Linked DNA regions of Cricetulus griseus. The protein of the gene in region 4 purifies or fractionates together with the protein of the main gene of each other region. This does not show direct contact. Links are inferred from orthologs where the notes say so. Each region holds a gene or a part of one and is shown on either strand. Other genes may lie near its edges.

Region 1 (4,738 bases), about 78 Mb from region 4:
TGACTTCCAGGCTTGCCTGCACTATAGTCAGTGTAAGGTGCTGCCTCAAAATATAGAAGTATGTGGACTGGCACTATCTTTAACAGGGTGCAGGGAACCTTATCACCTCAATCTTGGAAGGGTTTTTCCTGATCCCCTCCCTTTCCATGGCATGACAAATGTCATCCAGAGACAATTCCTTCCCTTCCACCCCATCCTAACCCACGGCCAGTACAAGAAGTTCCATTAAAGACTTCTTTCCCTCTCTACCTCATGAACACTCCTTTTGAAGACAAGTTTCAGAGATTACCCAGTATCTACAATGTACCTCCAGCTCAGAGATAACTCAGGTTACCAGCCTAAATTATGCTGGAGTGTGAACCAGCCCAACCACCATCATGAGCTGTGGTAACACACCAACTACAGTGTGGGGAGAGTGGTGGTTAGGGAGGCAACTTCTTCAAATATGGGTGCCAATGGGCCTTTAATCCCAAATCCAGGCAGAGTTAGGCAGATCTCCAGTTAGAGGCGCCAGTCTGGTCTACAGAGCAAACTCCAGGCCAGCCGAAGTTAGACAGTGAGATTCTGTCTCAAAAACAGAAAGAAAACAGGAAACCAACACATAAAAACTTCAATTTTGGGCTGGTGGACATAGATCTCCAAGTTGGTCAGTATTGAGATTGTTGCTTTCCTCCAGTGGCGTCCTATAGCTTTCCAATTGCTATGGATCCTAAGGTTAAGTCTGAGGCACAGCCCTCCAATTTGTTCTACTACCAAGGAACCCCAGAGCAGAGGGTACATGCTCCTTAGTGTCTCCCTCCTTAGCCTTTGGAAGAAGTCAAGAAGGCTCTATACCTACTTTATATCCCAGCCTCCCAAAATTGGGAAGGCTGTCCAGCCCATCTCCAGACCAGGAAAGATTTTAATCTCTGTGATCAGATAAATGGGAGAGTGGGGGAAGCAGGAGAGCCATTCAAAGCTGGTTCCTGTAATAAAGTGACTTAATAGATCCAAAGGGGTCAATTCCCTTCTCACTCACAATTACTTCCTGTGGGTTATCGTTCACATATGTAAATGAGAAGGGGGCACAAAGCCACCATGCAGAAACCAGCAATCTGGTGGTAGTGATGGGGGGGGGGTCAAGAAAGTAGCTAAGGGTACTGCTGCTGCGGGTCTCTTAAACACACGTTCCAGAAGCCAATGACACCAACAGCAAAGAGCTGCTCCCAAAATTCCTTCAAACCAAATCTACCTAGTTGCCCTTGCTCAACCCCCTGACTGGAGGGTAGGGCTCAGTCTTCACATTAGTCTCTAGCCTCCAACCAGTCGATCCAGCATCTCCTTCCCTACCCCTCCCCCTCAAGAACGCCATCCCTGAGGCTCCAACTCTTAATCCCCACATCCTCCTTTCCCCTCCCCCACAGCTCCTAAAGCTAACCTCCCTGAAGTAACCCCTCCCTGCCCGGACCGGGTGTCAAGCTCCAGGGCCAGGGATTAGCAATTTCTTCTTTCCTGGTCCTGCCTTAACCACCAAATCTGGAAGGGGGAGCAGCAGTCACCTCCTTCCCACCGAGGCATGGGGACCATTTGAACGTCCATAGGATGTTGAGAGGGTAAGGCGAATAACAGTGAAACCTGAAGGCTCCCTTCCTTGTTTAGGGTTAGGAATGTTAGGGACAGCAATCAATGGCTGTCTGGGGCCATAAATGCCAAGCTGAGGAGAATAGGGCAAGAGGCCAGCCTCCTTCCACCGCCTGCCCCCTCGACACTGAATTTCACTCCCCACTGCGCAGCCCTTCTTTAACTGAGAACTTGGGATTGCACCGACCCAAGTCTCCTAGACTGGCCCATCCAGGAATGAAGGCCTGGGCTCTTACGGTTTTCCTTCCTGGCAGGACCTGGTGGGCAGCAGAGGTGCCTGCCAGTCCTGAACTGAAATCCAGCCCTCTAGGGGGGCTTTTCAGCCCACACATTGATCCTTCCGGGATCTGCCGAATCTATACTGGCCACGGGACCTGGCTTTTTGGGTGGCCACCGGACTGAGGTCTGCACTCAATCAGGGGGAACAGCCTGACCTCGCAGGTTCATGCCCGTGGGTAGGGTGGCAAATGACCCACCTCTCCTGCCCTGGAAACTACATTCAGAACTCAAGGCGCTAGCGCCCGGCTCAGGCCCTGCATGTGCTTCCCTGATCAGCCTGCTCGCCCTCCCCCACCGGCAAGCACAATACAACCTTAGTTTCTGCCACATGGGGTCACCTCCCTGCCCCCTGCTCCCTTCCCAGGGGAAAGAGGTAATAGACACGTGGTAAGCCGGAGGGGTTCCCGGAAGGGGGCGGGGAGGGGGTGCTGGTAACCAGTGGTGCCTCCTCCTTGCTCCACCGTAGTTACTCAAACTCAAAATTGGGGTGTCCCAGCAGATAGGGACGCACAATGAGGGTCCTTTATCTCCTCCAATCCAACAGGAGCGGCCATCAGCCAAGCACATATATGTAACTCCCAGTTTTCCTTTTTCCTAGCTAAGTTACCGGAATCATTCTCACCTGGTGCACAAAGACGTCCACCGGGGGGTCGAGCGCGACCCCGGCGCGGGCGGTCATGGACAGGAAGCCGAACCCCATGCGCACGTTGAACCACTTACAGATGCCGGCCCCGTGCAGCAGCTGCGGCTCCTCTGCGGCTCGGGCCGCGTCAGTCGGCGCCTCCTCGGGCGCCTTCTCAGCTGCCTTGGCGCAGCCACCTGGAGACAGGGAGGGCCAGGTGATCAGCTGGGGGCCAGGCAATCACAGGGCCCTCTCCGGTACCCGTCTGGGAGACCTCGGTGTTGAGCCCGCGGATAGACACCCAGGAGGAGGCAGCTACCAAACAGCTGGTAAGAAGAAACCTGCCCTGGCTGCCGCCCCAAGCTCACACCGAGGATGCTGATGCCCCGAAAGTTTTGCTTGTCTTCCCACAACATGTTGCCGGTGCACACGCGGCGGGACAGGCCCCTCCTCTTCGCTCCCTCCGCCCCCGCGGGCTTGGCGCACAAGCCACTGGAACACCAGGGTTCCCTGTCCCACAGATGGCCCCAAGGAGCAGGAGGCCGCAGGGACTTGGGGTCCCGCGGGCAAGTCCGTGGGACACTTTCCCACCTCCCTTCTAATTAGCTCGTGGGCGCCCTGCACCCTAAGGTGTGCCCGCTAAATCGTAAGCTCGAACCTGCAAACTGCTGGTTGGACACCGAGCCCATGGTCGTCGGCTGAGCCCGTGGCCCCGGGCCCCAGGTCGGGCGGCTGCTGGCCCCAGAGAAGTCCGGAGGCAAAGGGGTGGTTCGGAGAAGAGGCTGCTACATCTTCCCCCGCACAATAGCGGTGGGAGGGCCCACGGCTTTTCAAAGGCTCCCAAATTCTAAAAGACAATGACCCAACCCCCCGCGGGCAGCCCCCTCCCCTCCCCTCCCCTCCCTCCCTACCCCTCCCTTTCCCTCCGGCTCTGGCTCCCGCCCTCCCCCACCGCTCTGGTCTCTGACACCTCTGGGGTGTCCCTTCCCAGAACCTTGAGATTTGACACCCCCTCCACATGCACACATCTGGAAACGGGGGTCTTTTGCCCTAGAAGTCTTGAGTACCCCCAGAATTTGGGATCCTGCACTTTGAGGACTCAATATGGGTACCCAATGCAGACACAGGTGGGGGACCTGAGAGGGGGGTAGTTTTGTAACCACGTGACTACACACACACACACACACACACACACACGCACAAGCACACACACGCACAAGCACACACACACACACACACACACACACACACACACGCGCGCGCGCGCACACACACACACACACACGCACCCCACCCCCACCCCCCGGGCAGATAATTATACATTCCAGAGAGTTGGGGGAGGGAGGTGTGAGCCTGGTGGCGCTGTCCAATCAGAAACACAAACCACCTGTCAAGGGAGAAATGGATGAGCCCTCCCCCTCCCCCAGCCCCTCAGCGCCCCTCCCCCCTTCCCCCTCAGGCCTCTGAGCTGACCCGGCAGCTTGTCGCTGACCTGCTCTCACCCCCCACTCCCGTGTGCTTAGATAGACCTGGAGTTCTGGACACTAGGAAGTCAGGATAGGGGTGCAGCGAAGCGGCTGGAGACCCCACAGAGCACATCTGTCTTGACCTAGGCGCTGCCCCTCAAACTCCGGCTGCCTCTGACTACAACTAGATGCCTCCATCTCCAAGTCTCAACCTCAGTTTCGCTGGGTTTGTCCCAATCAGAAACAAGCTCCTAGTTGATTCTGTGCTAAGAATCCTTTGCTTCCTTCCAAGCCTGCATCTAAGTTGGTCCCAGGTAGAGAGCTTCCTGGGAGAGCAAGGGGGACCCTGGAAGAGTGCCCTCTGTGATAGCTAGCGGCCTTTCATCCTGTCCGCCGCGTCCCGTCCTGTCCCACCCCTTGCTGGCAGAGGGCAACAGATTTGTGGGTGGAGGCACTTCCTGCAGTACCCGGGACCCTCTGGTTCCCAGACCCTCCTGTTCTCAGTCACCATCCTAAATTGCGCTACCCTCCCGTAGTGTGGCTGGTGGAAGGACTGGATAGGGAGGTTTCTCATTTGAAGAGGTAAACTCCCTACTAGAAGATAAAGAGGGTGGACCGGGGGTGGCCGCTGCCCTGGTCAGAGATGGACAATGGCCCGGGGCTCAGTGCACAGCCCTGGCCCTGCCCCTTCACTTCCGGTGCTCAGTTCAAACTGGACAATGCCAGCTCCGGTCAGTTCCCCTCCCCCATG
Region 2 (4,953 bases), on a different chromosome or scaffold from region 4:
CTTGTGAGTCTGATAGAAGATTTACTGCTGGTCTGGGCTACATAATACATTTAAAAGTACCTGGACAACATAGTGAAGCCTTGTCTCAAACAAAAGGAGAACTGGGGATATAGCTTAATGGAGTGGTTGCCTTTGAGTGCACAAGGCCCTACGTTCAGTGCCCAATAATGCCTGCCCCCTTCCCAAAGAAAGTGTCTAAGTACCTAGATCAGGCAGGGGAGTCTGAGACTAGGAGAAAGATGGACATAGAGAGGCAAAGTCAGTAGGATGTGGATTGGAGTAGCAAAGGCAAACAGGAGGAAAAACTGTTTGTTTCCAGAGACCATGCTTAGTTTTGCTTGGCTAAGTATATAGAGTCCAGGGAAATGTGGGAAAAGGAATTAAAGCTAGAAATTTAGGCTTAGGTTGGGCAGTGATGGCACATACCTTAGTCCTAGCACAGAGATCTGACTGCCTCTGCCTCCTGAGCACTGGGATTAAAGGCATGCCCAGCAACTTTTTGTTTCCCTTCCCTCTTCTACCACTCCCCCACCCACAGTCTACTCATACAGCAATTGATTTTTGTTTGTTTTTGTTTTTCAAGACAGGGTTTCTCTGTGTAGCTTTGGAGCCTATCCTGGCACTCGCTCTGGAGACTAGGCTAACCTTGAACTCACAGAGATCCGACTGCCTCTGCCTCTCAAGTGCTGGGATTAAAGGCGTGCGCCACCAATGCCCAGCCCCTGGACAGATTTTAATGTGAATCTTGAGGAACAGACTGGGATTAAAGGCGAGGGTTACCACCACCTGGCTTGACTCAAGTTCCTTTTTCTGTGTAGACTGGGCTGTCCTGGAACTCCCCCTGCAGACCAGGCTGGCCTTGTACTCACAGAGATCTGCCTGCCTCTGCCTCCTAAGTGCTGGGATTAAAGGCCGGTACCACCACACCCAGCCAAAAACAAAACAAAAGAACAACTAAAAAGACAAGATCGTTAAAAGCTCAAACTTGAGCTAGGCTGGTTTCAAATTTTTAAAATTTGTTCCTATTTTTTAAATTTTATTTTTAGTCATTTGTATGAATGCTTTGCTTACATGTATGTCTGTACCACATGCAAACCTGGTGCCAAAGAGGCCAAAAGATAGCATGATGAGCATATAGAATTAGTGTTACAGACAATTGTGAGCTACTGTAGTGGTAGTGGAATTGAACCCAGGTCTTTTTGAAGAGCTGCCAGTCCTTTAACCAGTGAACCATCATGCCAATCTCCCTGCCTTAGCCTTCAGAATTCTGGGGATCACAGACATGCATGCACCTGTACACTCGACTTTTAGAATTGTTTCTTCCTAAAGTTTTCGTGATTGATTTTTGCCTTTCCCGAGCAGCAACTGGTTTATTGTAAACAGTGAATGTAAAATTGCGCCTTCAGTTAGAATGCATCACTTCTTTTGGTGCAGCATTCATTTTCTTGTTAATAGGACTATCAAAGATCAAATCTACAGCATTTTCAGAGGCTACATAATTTGTAGTGTACCATTTACAAGGACAGGACTGCATTTAAATTCAGCACTCTCAGCTCCCGGGCGGCACTTAGCACTCACGCGCTCAATAAATGCGCAAAGTATGAATGAACTAAAGAACCGCCAGAGCCTCAGAGGGGGTCGGCCTGGGAGTTCCAAAGTTCGGGAGGGGACACGAGGGCGGGCAGTGCGCGTCACGTGACAGGGCGGAGCAAATCCCATGTGCTTCCCCAGCGCCAACGCGGCTCCGCCTTCTGCGCCGGTCACGTGGGGCGCCGGCTGCGCCTGCGGAGAAGCGGTGGCCGCCGAGCGGGATCTGTGCGGGGAGCCGGAAATGGTTGTGGACTACGTCTGTGCGGCTGCGTGGGGCTCGGCCGCGCGGACTGAAGGAGACTGAAGGTAAAGCCGCCATGTCCGGGCCCGACCCGGCCCCACCCCTCCCCCCGCATCCGCCGCCATCCGGGCCGGGGCCGCCACCCTGCGCCGCCGCCCCGGCGCCCCGGCCCGCGCCCGCGCCCAGGCCCTACTCGCCAGGCCGATCCCCGGCCCACGTGTGCCGGGCCGGGCCCGGGTGGGGGTGGGGAGCAGGGCCCGGCCGACCCGGGAGGGGAGGGCGCTGGGGCGGCGGCGCGACAGCCACCTTCGCTGGGCCGGGGACGTGGCCCGGCGCAGGCTACGCGGCGCAGACCCGCCGCCCCCTCCCCCTGCGGGGCCCGGGCGGCCGCCGGGAAGTGACACGTTGTTCTTTGGCACTGGCCGCGTTGCGCAGGGCAAGGAGGCGGCGGCGGGCAGGGAGGAGCCCCCAGCCCCGCCCGGCGGCCGACCCTCGTCTGCCCCGAGCGGCAAGGCGGCCGTCGCCGCCAGCCCTGCTGGTAGGGCCGGGCTCGTGCCCTTCCTGGCTCGTGTTCCCGGGCGGTCTCAGGCCTCTTCGGCCCCGTGCGAGTGCCCCGCGGCAGGCTCCGAACCCGGTGTCCCCGGGTGGGGGGTGGGGACACCACGGCCGAAGCAGCCGGCTTCATTTGTGATCCGGGAGCCTGGTGCCAGCGAGACCTGGAATTTCCGGTCTGGTTGGTCTTGGGCCCCGTGGAGCCAGGTTGATACCCCTCACCTCCCAACCCCAGGCCTTCGGATGCCCAGAACCTGTAGGCCGCACTGTGGACTTATTCTTAACCGAGGGGGTGAGTGAGGGGGCTGTTTGAGCAGGCAAGGGTGGGGTCGGGGTATTGCGGTGTGTTGGTGGGATCCACAGTCTGGATCACTTGTGTTTCTGCATTCCCTTGGCACCTCCCTTGATCCACGTTACTCTTAGCTCTTGATACCTTTCCCCCAGCCCATTTGCCGTAAGCTCGGGTCCTTTCCCGGTTCCGAGCTCTGTTCTTTCCAACAGGTGCTGGGGGGACCCTGATGTGGCACCAAATGAAATGAACAAAGCTCCTCAGCCCACAGGCCCCCCACCCGCCAGGTCCCCTGGACTCCCACAGGTAATCGAGGCAAAATGAGCAGAACTCTGGTTGGGGTGGAGGTCATGCAGCTCTCAGTTTTCCCACCCCCATCTGTGTCAGGGCAAAGTGCAGCTGCCTGCTGCCAAATTGAGATAGGGCCCCTGGCTGTCCCTGGGGCTGTCACAGGGAGGGAACATGTGGACTGCTGAGGCTTTTGCTGCAGGTCTGCTCCCCCTATTTCACCAGCTTGGGTTTCGGCCCCACCCAGGCTTCCCCTCTTGCTGAACTCTGGTCTCTCCCCTTCAGCCAGCGTTTCCCCCGGGGCAGACTGCACCGGTGGTGTTTAGCACGCCACAAGCGACACAAATGAACACGCCTTCTCAGCCCCGCCAGGTGAGGGGCTGTGGTTAGAGTAGGTCGCTGGGTGGGAACTGGGAAAATCTGGTTTGGGACTAGTATGGAAACTGTGGAGGCTGTGTACTTGCCCCCAATTTCCTGACAGTTGCTCTGAATTCTTTCGTGCTGTGTTAGTTATGGTGGCTCACCCTTTGTGAAGTTTGTAGTCTATGAAAGTGGCATTACTGGGTCTTCATGCCTTTGACAATTGGGGACAGTGCTGTGGGTCTTGCTGCCCGCTCTTTCCTGTGACTAGGAGGTTGCCATTGCCCTGTTCCTCTTCGCTTTCTCTTTGAACTGTGATGAGATGAACTTTCCAGCTGCGCTTTCATTTTTTTCTGTTCTCCAAGTTCTTCCCAAGTGGAAGGATTCTTTTCCTACCTACTCCACTCCCCCTAAACCCCTTCCATCACCTTGGGGATAATTGTCGTCTTTCCTGTCCCCATGTGCTCTCAGGGAGGATTCAGGTCTCTGCAGGTAATACCCCTTTCCTAATCCTGAGCAACCTCTTGGTGTTACCCCATCCTCTACCCTAGTCCATAGCTAGACACAGATGGGATATTCAGGGTGGGGCCTTGTTTGATGTTGAGGTCTTCAGTTTGAGTCCAAATACTGCATGTTAGAGGTTAACTGTTGGAGAGCAAGTATCTCAAAACTGGAAGATTGTTGCATGTAGCAGTTAATCAGTATTTGAGGTGGAATAGTGCATGCTGGGAAGTATGTTGCCCTCGAGGGCCTTACTTAAGCATGATGCATCTTGGTGTTAGGAAGACTCTAGAGGGATCATCTAGAGGTGATAGAGTATGCATGGCAGTGAGAGAGTACAGGATACAAAGTATTCATCTAAGTTTCCAGACAAGTTTTAGACCAAGAGGCCACTTAGCCATCAGTTCATGTGGGTTTTGGAAGGATTGGTCTCCATGCTCTGAAGCCTACAGTACTCTGAGATTGTATGTACATTGTGGAATGGAATGCTGATTTTAGTGTTGACTCCCTCCCCTTCTTGACCCCAACTGCTTTCCTCCTTCCTAATAGCACTTCTACCCTAGCCGGGCCCAGCCCCCGAGCAGTGCAGCCTCCAGAGTGCAGAGTGCAGCCCCTGCCCGTCCTGGCCCAGCTACCCATGTCTACCCTGCTGGATCCCAAGTAATGATGATCCCTTCCCAGATCTCCTATTCCGCCTCCCAAGGAGCCTACTATATCCCTGGACAGGTGAGGCTGGGGGCTGGAAGCCAGACCTCCTATCTGGTCTTCTAGATCCATTTCTCCTATGGAGGTGGGACTTGTAGTCATTGCCCAGGCTTAGCTTACCCTACTTACATAATCTGACGTATTCGTAGCTTTCCTCATCTCCTTCTTTTCCCTCCTCTCTCCCCAACCCCCATCAGGGGCGTTCTACGTATGTTGTCCCAACACAGCAGTACCCTGTGCAGCCAGGAGCCCCAGGCTTCTATCCGGGTGCAAGCCCTACCGAGTTTGGGACCTACGGTAAGCAGGGGTGAGAGTGCGTCCTACGGAACACTTAAGTGGTCTGCTTTCTAAGACCTTCCTGGGCATGCTTTTGGTTTTTAAAATAATAGGATTAATAGATGATAAGAATTTGTGCCTACAGCTGGGC
Region 3 (4,668 bases), on a different chromosome or scaffold from region 4:
AGTAATACCCTTTATTGCAAAAGAAAAAAAATGATTTTTTGGGGGGGAGGGGAGGGCATCTCTTATATTTCTTGTCTCCATTAATCTTTTTTTGAGATAGTCTCAGTATATAACCTTGGCTGGCCTGGAGCTTGCTATGTAGATGAGGCTGGCCTTGAACTCACAGAGATCCTTCTGCTTCTGCCTCCAGTCTTCATAAATCTTGAAGGATTACTATCTTCTATGAGCTTGACAATTTTGAAGAGTGCAAGTCAGCGATGTTGTAGATGGTCCCTCAAGGATGGGTATGTCTCCCACTCCTACAATATCAAATTAACATGTGAAATTTGGACATTAACAATTCCCACCTGGGCAGTGGTGGCACACGCCTTTAATCCCAGCACTCGGGAGGCAGAGGCAGGCAGATCTCTGTGAATTCGAGTCCAGCCTGGTCTACAAGAGCTAGTTCCAGGACAGCCTCCAAAGCCACAGAGAAACCCTGTCTCGAAAAAAAAAGAAATCCAAAAAGTTGCTTAGTGTTTTTTTTTTTTTTTTTCTGGCACACCATTGGAAGTCCCATGGTGTCCATTTCTTCTAGCTCACTTGCCCACCTTGCCTATTTTTAGGCTGGTGGGAAGTAGCTATGCTCCTGCCTCAGGTTCCTGAGTGTTGTAATTCCCTGTCTGGTTCACGTGTCATATTTCTGAGATACTTTAGTCTTTTTTCCCCCAGTGGTGAGGTTCCAGACCAGTGCCTGGTGCAATGTAGGCAAGTGCACTAGACTCGAGCTCCAGCTCCAACTCTGGCAAAATTTGTTTTTCACCAACACAGGGTGGTATCTTCCATATTTTCCTCCGGGAACGTTTTTCCTTTGTAATAACAAGTATTTTGTGGAGAGATTTTGAGACTGTAAAAAATCGTTTCTCATAGTACTAATGCTTGTTAGTTTGACAGCTAAAGTAAGGAGTAAGAATTGAGGCATCACGTGTTTCCCGGGGCCACCTTTTATCCATTATGAGAGCATGTTACTTGTCATCGCACGTATCGCTGCCCTCTCCGTGACAGTTTTCTACCAGTAGTTAGTTGAGCTATTTCTTATCTCATGTTCCTGTTTTCCAGAGGGTCATGTCATTCAGGGCTTACAGTTTCCGTATCTTCTAAGCCTAACATACAGAGAGCTTGAAAAATTATGCGTTTGAATTAACGGCTTGGGGTAGATATTACAGGAGATCGTAAAGGCTACACGCGGTCCCGGGCTGGCATTTTGTTTTTATTTTTATTTTTTTAATTCCAGAGGGGCAATAAAACGCGAAGACTGTGTCGAGGGCGCGGTCCGGGCAGGTATTAGCGAAAGGGACCTCCAGCGCCTGCTACCTCTTTGTCAGCAAGGCCCGGGGCTTCCGCTGGGTGGGGAGGTAGGTGGGGCGGGAAATCTAAACGCGAACTCCCAGCTTCCGTCACTCCCAGTGGGCGGGGCTCCCCTTTGACCTCTGGCTCGCTCGCTACACATCCGGGCCACTGTTACTAGCGAGGGGAAGATGGCGGCCGCGACTGTGGTGGTTCCCGCAGAGTGGATAAAGAATTGGGAGAAATCAGGGAGAGGCGATTTGTGAGTGTTCGGGCCTGGGGCGGGCGCTGCGGGAGCCGGAGGCCGGGGCGTTGGCCACCTTCGGAAGTGGGGTACAGGGGCCGGGGGGGGGAGGAGCGGCGCCCCCTCCCCCACCCGGGCGGCGATTGGGGATGGTTCTTTAGGAGTTTCGAACTGTGGGACGAGCGGAGCCGGTAGCCTCCGCCGAGCGCCTCCCTTCCCCGACCTCCCCGACAGCCCGGCGCTCCAGCGGAGCCTGGCTTCCTTTATAGTCTCTTAAGGCGAACTTCCGTCTTGTCCCCCTCGGGTCCCCCTGTGCTCCCGCTGTCTCTTTTTGTCCTGTCTCTTTCGTTTTTAACTCCGCTCACTTCGGCTGCTTTTCTGGCCGTGGGTTCGCGCCCGGGGACCGTTGGGTCCGGACTTGACAGTTTTTTTTTTTTTGTTGTTTTGTTTTGTTTTTTTTTTTTTGTTTTTTGTTTTTTTCTCTCTGTCCCATTTCATCACTCTGCCCCTAAAGCGGCTCCCGCAGTTTGGCGCCCGGCCTCTCCTGTGCCCGAAGTCTGAGGAGGGCGAACTGTCCCGAACTCTTCTCCCGTTCTAGGCGCCAGCGGCTGAGGAGCACGGAGCGTTGGGGACAGCCCGGCTTAGCACCTCTGGTTTCTTGGGGAGCTCCAGCTTGCACTGTCCTGGCCCTGCGGTCCTTGGTGGTGGTGGTGGGGGGGAGTGTGGCAGGGATTGCCGCTTTTGCCAAGTCCCTACCGGCATGTCACCTCCGATGGTTTCGGGTTGGATCCAACTTTTCATCATCAAGTGTTGATGAAACCCCCGTTTTGGCGTGGGACGCTCGCTCATTCTGGTTCCCCCTCGAAGCTTTTTTTTTTTTTTTTTTAGTACTTTAGGATATTTTCTTTCCTTTAAGTCTTAGAAACTTATTTTGGACCCCCCCCCTTCCTGGTAATTTGTCACGGTAGAGGTTTTCTCTCCCCAAATAGCCACCCCACCCCCACTCCCCGTTTAAATAGTAAAATTGACCATAGATTTGAAAAAGAAAAAAAAAAGTTCTGATTTATTCTTCTGAATCGCGTTCGAAGCTTAGCAGTCCATCTTGAGTGAGATGAATTCTTTTTAGCTGTTTGGGTTGTCTCCCGCCACTCCTCCACTCCGATCCAGTGTCAGGTTCCCGATTGATAGCGAGAAGACAGGAATCTTTCGAAACTTTGTTACTTCAAGCGAAGCACGAAGCACCAGACATGCATTGCAGGCTGGTACTCTTGTAAAATGACTTAACTCCCGCCGACAGCTCCCTTTGCTGTTCCATGAAACTTAACAGTGTGAGTCCTAGAATTGGATTGTGGGAATAAGCGGCTAGCTTAGCCCACTTAACTAGCTGAGTGACCTTGGTAAATTCTTAACCACTTTGACTGTTTTCCCTTGAGTAAACTGGGAATAGTAAGCACGCTACTCTAGAAAGCACTTGGCTTATAGTAAGTGCTCAAGTGATAGCTATTAAAACTAATATTATTCCAGCTTTTAGATATTTAAACTTCTCGGGACAACTCTTGCACTTATAGGCTTTACCTCTTTGGTTAGCAATTAATTGGCCTCTGGCTTCATGTGTATTTACTCTTGTATGCCAATAAATTCAGAGGTTCTTGAAGAAAAGCGATGCTGTCTCTTATTTTATTTATTTATTTATTTATTTATTTATTTATTGGTTCAACATCTCCTCTAGCAAGTGTTTATAGTGCCCTAGGGTTTTGTTAACTCACAGGTATGTATGTCTCACATGTAAGATAAGCATTTTTAATTTTTATGTGCTATTTAATAAATACCTGTCAGGTGCCTTGCGTGCTGAGAAGGCAGAATGGGAAGCAACTCAAGTAAACCATCCTATATTTGGGGGTAATCCTCCCCAAACAAATAATCCAGTTCATCGTTGTTTACTGTCTAAAACCTATGTATTCATTATGGACGGTCATTTTTGTAGGTGGCTCAGCTTCCTCCTGCAGGTGGATTGTGTGTGTGTGTGTGTGTGTGTGTGTGTGTGTTTGGTAGTAAGTGCTCCATCAATGAGCTACAACCACAGGCCTAGCTGTTTTTTTTTTTAACAGTTTAATTTTGCTTCCACCTTAAAATGAATATTAGGAATAGGACGAGTTGTGTCTGCTTTGCTTCTGACGGGTTATGTTTGGAGAAAAACTTTAAGTGTATGTGAAGGCAAGAATATCTAGTTAAAATGTAATTTTGAGTTTATGTATTTTTACATGTTCCATGCTACCTAGTGTTAAAAGAGCTACTTAAAACTGAACTTAGGATATCCATGTTTGTGTTTTATTGCATAGCTTGTGGAATGTGGTTTGAATTATAGTAGATTTGAATCAGTGTGATCAGCTTAATGATTATATATCATTTCTGTTATATTAAGAGGATTTATCTCATTTTTTTGATATAGTGACCTTGTAGCCCATGCTGACCTTGAATTTATAATCCTCTTCTGGGTGCTAAGATTATAGGCATGTACCACTATACTAGCTGAGAATTTAAAGTTGGATGGCATAGTTGGCTGTGGTGGCTAACACCTGTAATCCTAGCACTTGGGAAGATGAGGGAGGAGTCCCATGAGTTTGAGGGCAGCAGGGGTTACATAGTGAACCCTTTTCTCAAAGAAAACAACAAAAGTCAAAAGAAAATTACAGCTATATAGATTGGAGAGACGTCTCAGAAGGTTAGGAGGGCTTACTGTGCTTCTAGAGGACTTGAGTTCACTTCTCAAAACCCACACCTGATGGTTCAGTTACCTGTAACTCCAGCTCCTGGGGATCTAATACCTCTCACCTCTTCAAATACCTGTATTTTACACACACACACACACACACACACACACACACACACACACTTAAAAATATCTAAAAAATCCCCAAACTGAAGCTATATAGTATAATGAAATATTTAAGTTTTTCCTTATTGGTAGATGAACCTAGAAGCCTTGTACATACTAGGCAAGTACTATTGCTGAGGTATATCTTCAGGCCTTTACAAAGTTATTTACATTATTGTAAAAGCAATAGGTTTTATTATGGCCTTTTCATACATACATATGA
Region 4 (4,171 bases):
TTGCTGTACTCTTTCTAGTCTCCTTTCTATTTTGATGTCTTTTTGTATATGTGTGACTCACTTGCATACAAGTGTGGGTGGTTATTTACTGGAACATGGATGGACACCTTACTAATGGCTACACAACTAAAGAAAATACCTCCTTGCCCAGAAACTTTTAACTACCAGTAGCTCCTCAGGAAAGGGTTGGGGCCTCATGAACTCCATCCCTGTCCATGAAGGAATGTTGACCTGTCTGTAGCTGCTGTGAGGTTTTTAGTGCTGTGGTCATATCCTGTCCAGAGGATAGCATTTTTGCAGACTCCTCCCCAACCTCTGGTTCTTAGGTTCTTTCTGCAACGTAGAACCTTTGTGTGTCTTGAATAAAAGACTTAATTAAGTCTTACTAATACCTAATACATAGATTGGTAGTAATCCAGTACTTACCATAAGTAAGTACCTACATGTTGAAAATCATTTGATCACAATCTTTTTTATTGAAGACAAATTCAGAAAATTTTGGACACCTGTCAGGATATAGGATTAAAGTCTTCATCTTTCATGATTGCCCCAGTCTGGTTGCTTTCTCTTGTCCCCTGTATACCCTGCAGCTATGTAGTTACCTGCACAACCCTGTGCCAAGAATGCCTTCCCTGCTCCCCACTGAGGGCTTTGCTCACGCTTTATAACCTTGCCCAGTTGCTTTCTCCTTACACTTTTTCCCTTGTTACCGATGTCACTGGTCCCAAGGGCACTTTTTAACTTACCTTTTAGTGCAGGAGCCATCCCTTTTTGTTGAGATTGTGTTTGTCCCAAATCTGCTATTAAGTTCCCTTAAACAGTACCTTAAATAGTGCTTATATAGTCTTGGCACGTAGTCAATATCTCTTTTACTTAAATTTTCCATTTTTATATTTCAGTAAAAATTATTCCTAGCCAAACAAAAAGACCAACCTACTTCAGTAGAATGGAATAACTAGAATATCTGGCTGTCCAGGTGCTTAATGTAGCATAGCATGGAAACCCACAAAGTCACAGATACCTGTCCAGCATAAGATCTTTAGTACAGCTACCCAATTTCACCATTGTATCACAGAAGCATGGGTCAATAAGTGGCTGAATGGGTGTGAACTGTCTTCTACTGCAAGCATGGTTATGCACACTGAAATTTGAATTCATGTCATTTTGTGTGAATATTACTTTGTTTTGAACATTAAATTTAGAGACTTCTTGGCTCACAGGTTGCGCAAACGAAAAGATAATAAGCTAAATACAGACATGGGCTTTATTTTGTGACTATTATGAAAGACTATTAGGTTAATACAGATATCCTTTGCCCTCACAGGTCCGTTTTCTATCTGATCTTGTGAATTGTCATGTGATTGCTGCCCCATCTATGGTTGCTATGTTTGAGAATTTTGTAAGTGTGACTCAGGAAGAAGATGTGCCTCAAGTAAGACACCTTTATGTTGAATCTTTTCTGTAAAGTACTGTACCAGATTTTTTTCCCTACTGATAACTCTTTAGCAGCAATAAACAAAATACAATAACAGATTATCACACTGTAGTGCTTAATACCTGAAGGGCAAATCAACTAACTGGCTTATTGGTGGGTTCTCTTGACATCATTGTGTTAGTTCAGATGATTTTAATAAGATTAGAACTGTAGGGCTGGAGAGATGACTCAGAGGTTAAGAGCACTGGCTGCTCTCCCAGAGGTCCTGAGTTCAATTCCCAGCAACCACATGGTGGCTCACAGCCATCTGTAATGAGATCTGGTGCCCTCTTCTGATGTGGAAATATACATGGAAGCAGAATGTTGTATACATAATAAATAAAATCTTTTTTTAAAAAAAGATTAGTAGAACTGTATATCTAGAAATCCTCTAGATGAGCCAGATAGTTTATTTAAGCCTTATTGAAAAGCCTCCCCAGGATTGCATTTTCGACTAAAAAAGATTGGCCTGGAGAGTTGTATAGCTCACTTGTAGAATGCTTGCTTAGCATCTGTAAGAATTGAACTTGATCCTTGACACTGGAAAGAATAAATAATAAGAGAATAAATAAATAAAGCTAACTAGCATGTTTTTGGTTTTGATTTTTTTTTTTTTTTTACTTACCTTTTTAACCTTTCTTCAGGTGCGACGGGATTGGTATGTGTATGCATTTCTGTCATCTTTGCCTTGGGTTGGAAAAGAGTTATATGAAAAGAAAGATGCAGAAATGGACCGAATCTTCTCCAACACTGAAAGTTATCTTAAGTAAGGGCACAGCTCGCATGTTCTTTGTTGTTCACATAAAGATATCCTGCTGATAGGATAAATGTCTTCAGTTTTCTTTCAGTTCCATTTTTTAAAAAACAAAACCTTAAAGCTTCTGAAAAAGTCCTCTATTAAATTTCATTCTCCTGCTGCCATAATTCATTAAGATCCCAGTACTTTGCTAATGTAAGAAGTTGGTATCATGTGTGCTAAGCAGTTTTCATGTTGTTGTGAAAGGCGTAGAACACCATGGTGTAGTAGTTCCACTAGTGTTCTAGTGTTCATATGTTTATGCTTAAAGGTCACCTATAGCACTTAAAATTATACCTCTGCCCAGGCATCTAAATCGAGTGGAAGAGGTTCAAACGATTCCATCTGATTGGGTTTATTAACAGTACCATGGTATTGTTGTGTTGTGTTTTTTTAATGGTTTTCTTTATTAGTATAATAAATTAGTTCTCTGTGGATATTTAGTTTGTGCAGTCTCCTTTTACCTTAAATAAGTATCAGGGAATATTATTATATATAATATATATGTATATATATATTGTGTGTATGTCTGTGTGTATTTATGGGGATATGAATTCATAGGAATGGAGTTGGGTGAAGATTCAGAACAACTAAAATTTTGACAGAAATGGTCACATTGTCTTCCATAGACATATTCTTCCAGATTGTACCAATTAACCCCTCTGTCACCAGTGTTTGAGATACAGATGTGCTGTTATCTTGATGACAAATAGACTATTATCAAAAATGTTGCTATCTGCTGATCTGATGGATGAAAATGTTTTTCATTCTTTTAATTAATACGTGAAAACCATGGAGTGTCTTTTATTTTTCTAAAGCCTAAGTGTAGATTTTCATTTTTACTCTTAGACGACGCCAGAAGACTCATGTGCCCATGCTACAAGTATGGACTGCCGATAAGCCACATCCACAAGAAGAGGTGAATTGTTTTCCATCCTGTGTTACTTGCACAGCTTTTGAGTAGATCTTACCTCTGTAACATGCCCAAACTATATCACCAACCCTGTCAACCTGAATTCAGTTCCCAGGACCCACGGGTAGAAGGAGGAAACTGATTCCTATAAGTTGTCCTCTGACCTCTGAGAGTGCCCTATGCCCCATGTGCCACACAAATAAGTAAAACTGCAGTTTTACTCAAACTATTGCGTTTGTGTATCTTAGCTAGGTTTTTAAATATTTCCAGTGAGGAATTAATTTCCTCAGATTCTTAAGCATAGAGGAGATATTTAATATATGTTTGAGTATAATTGAAACAGCCCCTTGCTTTTTAGAATACCAGTGTCCACACACTTGACACATTTTATATCTAAATACTCAATTTTAAAAATAGCAGACGCAGTCACCCCAAATGTTCTACTGAAAAAAAGCTGCTAAAGTAAAAATGGAGAATGGACTGCTTAGTGGGTAGAGGCAGCCTTACCACAGAATGGAAGGAGAGGAACACCTTCCAAAAGCTGCCCTCTGATCTCAATGCTTGTGGCAAGAGCATGCACACTAATGCAATTTTAAATTTTTAAGTAAAAAACAAAAACTTAGTGCCATTCTTTTCTACTGTATGAAATACCAAGTTAGTTTATTTTGTCCTGTATTTTAGAGAATAGACATTTTCTGTACTGTCTAGCCAAAATGTTTATATTAAATATTAAAATCTCTTTTTAGTATTTAGATTGCCTGTGGGCCCAGATTCAGAAATTGAAAAAGGACCGGTGGCAGGAAAGGCACATCCTAAGACCCTACCTTGCCTTTGACAGCATCCTCTGCGAAGCACTGCAGCACAACCTGCCTCCTTTCACACCACCACCTCACACAGAAGACTCGGTGTACCCGATGCCCAGGGTAATTTTCAGGATGTTTGACTACACAGATGACCCAGAGGTATGGGAGTACCCAAGAGTTTCCTT
Region 5 (4,620 bases), on a different chromosome or scaffold from region 4:
TCTTCCAGTCAATTACCAGTGGTAAACAAAAAAGTTCTACTAACGAAGACTGATAAGTGATAGCCTTCCCCCCCTTATTTTGTTTTATCTTCTTCAAATGAGTCATTTGACCAGATTCAAAGGACACGCTGAGGGCTTGAAGTCTAGAGAAAAATGTAAATTAATTAAAAAAGAAAAAGAAAGAAAAGGGGGAGGGGAAGGGGTACAATTAAGATAGTTAAAAAAAATAAAATAGAGAAAAAAGAGTGCAACTTTTTGTTTTCCATGAGAAAGCACTACTGGCATCAGTAGACCGACCATACTTCAACAGGGCAAAGATGGTGTAAGACCTTTCATGGACTTGTAGTTACCAACTGACCACAACCAGTGACTCACAAAACAAATGCAGGTGACAGCTTGGCCACCAAAGGCCTTTCAGTTCCTAACTCAGACCTCAGGTTCTTCCAGATTTCTTTTGAAGATTGTCTTAACTGAATTCTTTATGGTATATTTCTACCAATCTGACCTGGCTCATTTTGATCATATGTAGTACAACTGCATACAAGCTTATATCTGCAGAAGATACAGAAACGCAATATTCTTATATATAAACCAAGTCCACCTGCCCGGGGGTGGGGTGGGTGGGTGGGGTGGGGTGGGGTGGGGTGGGGTGAATAAAAGCTGTTATTGTTCCAACCTCTCTCTGTTATTTCTTCTATGACTTTAAAGGGAGAAGGCAGGCTGGAGTCTGCAGCCCCAGGGCCTGATTACAGCCTGAAGGCTAGATTGTGTGTTAAGGTGGACTAGGAGCCATGGGGGCACAGGAAGGTAGAGCTGCCAAAGTGACGATTGCACAAGGATGCTTGGGAGAAATCAGGGCATGCTGGAACGCTATTATTTTCTTTTATCGATGAGAACTTAGTAGGTACTGTGCTGACCTGACAGATTCTTGAGACCAACAAAGTCTCTGCACTCATTGAGCTTAATAACGGTGCAGGGAGCAAGGTAGCATAAGCATAAACACACACATCACATTCACATGTATCTGTGGAGTGGAAACAAGCATGCTATTTATAACACCGAGGCAGAGCAAGAGAACAGAGTTTGAGGGTGGTTGCTATTTGAGGAGACCCCAAAGAAGCCAAAAGCGCAGAGCACGCGTGGCCGTTCTTTTTCTAATTTTCCAAGCTGTAGGGAGCAAGGTGCGCCCCCAGGAGCCCCGCCTCTCGCTCCCGATAGGCCGCAAGGTGCCATCTCCGGAGATGTCCTGCCCACCACCCCGCCCAGAGGCGGGGCTTCGAGCCCGCGCTCAGAAAGCGCCGCGCCGAAAGCGCGCGCCCAGCCCTCCCGGCATGCTTCTCGTCCTCTCATGGCGTGGCTCAGACCAGCGCCTGGCATGCTGGGAACTGTAGTTTCCGCCCGCCGCCCCGCGTCAGGGGTGGTGGTAAAAGCTGCTAGGTCGGGCTCCATTTCTAGCACATGACTAGCGGCGGTCGGGAGGCTCTACGGTGGGGTGAGGGCAGGGTCACCGCGACAGCCAGCAGGCCAGCGCCCCGGCCTCTCCCGGCGCGCGCCGCTCCTCAGCGCCGCCCCCGCGCCGCGGCCACCTCGCGCTCCGGGCGTCACGGAGCGCGCGCTCCTCCCCCTCCGTCCCCTCCCGCTCGACTCGCCGCCGCCCCGCCGCCGCCGCCGCAGGAGCAGCCGCCGCCGGAGCCGCGCGCAGCCATGGCCGAGAACCCCGGCTTGGAGAACCACCGCATCAAGAGCTTCAAGAACAAGGGCCGCGATGTGGAGGCGAGTGTGCTCCGAGTCTGGCCGGGCCGGGCGGCCGGGAGAGGAGGGGAGGGGAGGGGCGGGGGCCCGTGGCCGCTGGCTCTCGCCGGCTGGCGGTCAGTCCGGAGTTGGCCGCCGCCTCGGGGGGCGCCGCGGCCCGGGCTGCAGCCGCCTCCTGAGCGGCCAACGCGGGCACCGGGGACCGCTGGGCGCTCGGCGCCGCCGCGCGGGCGCGGCCTGCTGTCGGAGGGGAAGGGATGTGGAGCCGAGGCGGGGTCCGCGGGCCGCGCGGGAGGACGGACCGGGATGCTGCCGCCCCGCGTGCCGACCGCACCGCTGGGGCCCGGCCGGCGCTCGCGTCCTCAGCCGGTGCAGCCTCCCGCGCTGCTGCACATGGAGCCTCAGTCCCCGCGCCTACCTTGTGCGAGCCGGGCCCAGGCGGGCGGTGGCAGCCCTTAGAGGGGGGTGGGGACCAGCCGGGTAACTGACTTGTTTGAGGGTGGTGGATGGGGGAGGGTAGGATGCGCCAAGACCATTTTCTTATATTCCAGTGCTGTCCTTTGGACCAGTCTTCCCGAGCTGTTGCAGCTCATAACCCCTGTGACTGCTGGCATTTGGAGCGAGCTAAAGGTGGACAATAGTTTACCATCCATTGTGTTGAAGCTTTGGGAAGGAGATTATGCAGACCTCTGATCTTGGGTTTTTTCTTTCTTTCTTTCTTTTTTTAAAAAAAGCTCATCTTGGAGTGGGAGCGTGAATAGTAGGAAAACAATTTCTTTGACCTGTTTTGCCGAAATAAATTGCATACATAGATTCCTACGTCCTTGTGTATACCACATGCCACCAGGCTGGTAGATTTTCCAAGTGGTTGCAAAACTGTAAACATTCATTGTGGTCACTCAGTTCGCTGCTACTCAGCATGTTGCCATTGTCTCATTAAGGTGACATTAGCAGCTACTATTTGCAAACTCTGCTTATTGAGGTAGCGCTAGAGGTCTCTCTGCTCCTACTAAAACCAATGAAGTGTAATAGCACAAACTTCACTGGAACTCGACCTCTGAATTTGAGGGGGGAAGGAGTTTTAAGCCTATACCCTCTTTTCTATTCTAATAGTAGGTGATGGTTTGTATAGTCCTGTAATTTTTGGTAAGAGGCTAGTAAATACAGAGTTTGGTTTAGTAGAGAAGCAGGTGAAGCTGGGACATTTCTCAGAGCTACAAAATTAGGTATGAATTGGGAAAAACCTGGGGGAATATCTGTGGAATTCCCATTTGAGTGAGACTACAGGTCCTTTATCTCTATCCTGATCACATCTAAGTTTCCTTTTGGAGAAGTACTTCCAAACAAAAGTGAAAGCTAACAACTGGAACAGCCATCAGTCTCTATTTTTTAATAAGACTTGGTTTTTATCTTTTCTTCACCAGTAGTTTTTCTGTGTGTGTGTGTGTGTGTGAGTGTTACACCAGTAGTCTCTGTTGCTTTTTGTTGTTGTTGTTGTTGTTTGTTTCCTTTTTGAGACAGGACCTCATTGCAGAGCAGTCTGGTCAAACACACAAAATAATTCTCCTGCCTCAGTCTCCCAAGTGCTGGGATTACAGGCATGGGCTACCACACCCAGTTCCACAAGTAATTTTTCTTGAGGCTATCTTTTATTACTGTAAGCAAAACTGCATAGTTTGTGTGGATGTATTGCTCCTATTGCTTGTACATTCTTTACTTTTCTGGATGTTGGTGTAAGTTTTAGTCACAATTCACTTCTAGTATGGTGTCCTATTTGTTTAATGATACCTAATAAGGACTTTTTCATGGAATAGATCCACAGCAGGTACTTGCATGAAAAGAACAGTATAGTTGCCAAGCCATTGATTTTGTTCACAACATTACATTTTAAGGACATGTTAGGATAACTAAGACATGAAACAACAGGCATTCAGATGGTAGTTCTTTGTGTCAGACACTATGTTGTACCAAAAGTTTGCTACCTCATTTAATCCTTACTAGTTAGGTGTGACATTGTCTTTACTTTATCAGGGAAAAAAGTACTTTGACACAGAATGTCAGCATCCATGTAATGTGCTGGTCATGTCTGAGCATTCATTTTCTAAATGACTATTAGGTGCCTATAATGCTCAGCCTTCTTCATACAAAAGGACCTAAGATTCAGTTTGGCTTGAGCTTATAGTCAGTGTGTGAGAAAAACCTACACTGGATCAGGAGTGTTGACTTCCAAACAGCAGTGAGATCTGTTGATTCCTAATAGATGAATGGGGATGAACTGATCCTGAAGAGTCAGAGAAGTCTGGGCGCACATTCAGTAATTCCAGCACTTGGAACTGGGAGGCAGAGTGTTAGGAGGTCAAGGTCATCTTGGGCTACATGATACCCTACCTAAAAAATAAGTGAATGAAGGGTTGTAGTTGGGGAAGGGTAAGGGCCGGAGAAGGTGGGAGGCATTTGGAATTTTATTAAGTATTAATTGAAAAGTCCCAGTTTATGCAGTCAGCTGGTAAACAAGGAAAATAAGAAGGCAACCTTACTTATGTGAAGGGTTGTGAGTGAGTGGACAGGGTTGTAAAGAGATCTTGTAGACATTCATCAAGAGTGACTTCATAAGAGAGCTTTGGAGAGACAAAATGAAGTGATGGATCTTACAGGAAATATATATCAAACTTGAGATGGGCAGATGAAAAATTAGTGAATAACATCACAGGTGAAAAAGAGGTGTGTCTCCAAAGCTACACAGAGAAGCCCTGTCTCGAAAAACAAAAAACAAACAAACAAAAAAAGAGGTGTGACTATATTGGGGATGAACCTGAGACTTACATATGGCTTGTTGGTGTGAGAATTCATAAGTCAGGTATGTCCCTT

The links. The genes of interacting proteins can lie anywhere in the genome.
Region 1: the proteins of Ncbp1 (region 4) and Lin28a purify together in Homo sapiens (affinity purification with mass spectrometry; 3 studies listed by BioGRID and IntAct, with this or other methods). This does not show direct contact. The link is inferred for Cricetulus griseus from reciprocal best matches to the Homo sapiens genes NCBP1 and LIN28A.
Region 2: the proteins of Ncbp1 (region 4) and Eif4g1 purify together in Homo sapiens (affinity purification with western blotting; 3 studies listed by BioGRID and IntAct, with this or other methods). This does not show direct contact. The link is inferred for Cricetulus griseus from reciprocal best matches to the Homo sapiens genes NCBP1 and EIF4G1.
Region 3: the proteins of Ncbp1 (region 4) and Thoc2 purify together in Homo sapiens (affinity purification with western blotting; 3 studies listed by BioGRID and IntAct, with this or other methods). This does not show direct contact. The link is inferred for Cricetulus griseus from reciprocal best matches to the Homo sapiens genes NCBP1 and THOC2.
Region 5: the proteins of Ncbp1 (region 4) and Kpna3 purify together in Homo sapiens (co-immunoprecipitation; 3 studies listed by BioGRID and IntAct, with this or other methods). This does not show direct contact. The link is inferred for Cricetulus griseus from reciprocal best matches to the Homo sapiens genes NCBP1 and KPNA3.

What each region holds. Positions count from the first base shown.
Region 1 is NC_048595.1:19,275,983-19,280,720, reverse strand, and holds the start of Lin28a (protein lin-28 homolog A), read right to left. Parts: upstream 3,211-4,738; coding exon 3,180-3,210; intron 2,719-3,179; coding exon 2,522-2,718; intron 1-2,521. UniProt on the Homo sapiens protein: RNA-binding protein that inhibits processing of pre-let-7 miRNAs and regulates translation of mRNAs that control developmental timing, pluripotency and metabolism.
Region 2 is NC_048597.1:67,976,763-67,981,715, reverse strand, and holds the start of Eif4g1 (eukaryotic translation initiation factor 4 gamma 1), read left to right. Parts: upstream 1-1,743; 5' UTR 1,744-1,896; intron 1,897-2,618; 5' UTR 2,619-2,675; intron 2,676-2,884; 5' UTR 2,885-2,918; coding exon 2,919-2,978; intron 2,979-3,245; coding exon 3,246-3,332; intron 3,333-4,370; coding exon 4,371-4,547; intron 4,548-4,723; coding exon 4,724-4,823; intron 4,824-4,953.
Region 3 is NC_048604.1:26,077,774-26,082,441, forward strand, and holds the start of Thoc2 (THO complex subunit 2), read left to right. Parts: upstream 1-1,458; 5' UTR 1,459-1,517; coding exon 1,518-1,588; intron 1,589-4,668. UniProt on the Homo sapiens protein: Component of the THO subcomplex of the TREX complex which is thought to couple mRNA transcription, processing and nuclear export, and which specifically associates with spliced mRNA and not with unspliced pre-mRNA.
Region 4 is NC_048595.1:97,274,837-97,279,007, reverse strand, and holds part of Ncbp1 (nuclear cap-binding protein subunit 1), read left to right. Parts: intron 1-1,324; coding exon 1,325-1,432; intron 1,433-2,118; coding exon 2,119-2,240; intron 2,241-3,119; coding exon 3,120-3,189; intron 3,190-3,929; coding exon 3,930-4,145; intron 4,146-4,171. UniProt on the Homo sapiens protein: Component of the cap-binding complex (CBC), which binds cotranscriptionally to the 5'-cap of pre-mRNAs and is involved in various processes such as pre-mRNA splicing, translation regulation, nonsense-mediated mRNA decay, RNA-mediated gene silencing (RNAi) by microRNAs (miRNAs) and mRNA export.
Region 5 is NW_023276807.1:216,452,332-216,456,951, reverse strand, and holds the start of Kpna3 (importin subunit alpha-4), read left to right. Parts: upstream 1-1,410; 5' UTR 1,411-1,458; coding exon 1,459-1,773; intron 1,774-4,620. UniProt on the Homo sapiens protein: Functions in nuclear protein import as an adapter protein for nuclear receptor KPNB1. Binds specifically and directly to substrates containing either a simple or bipartite NLS motif.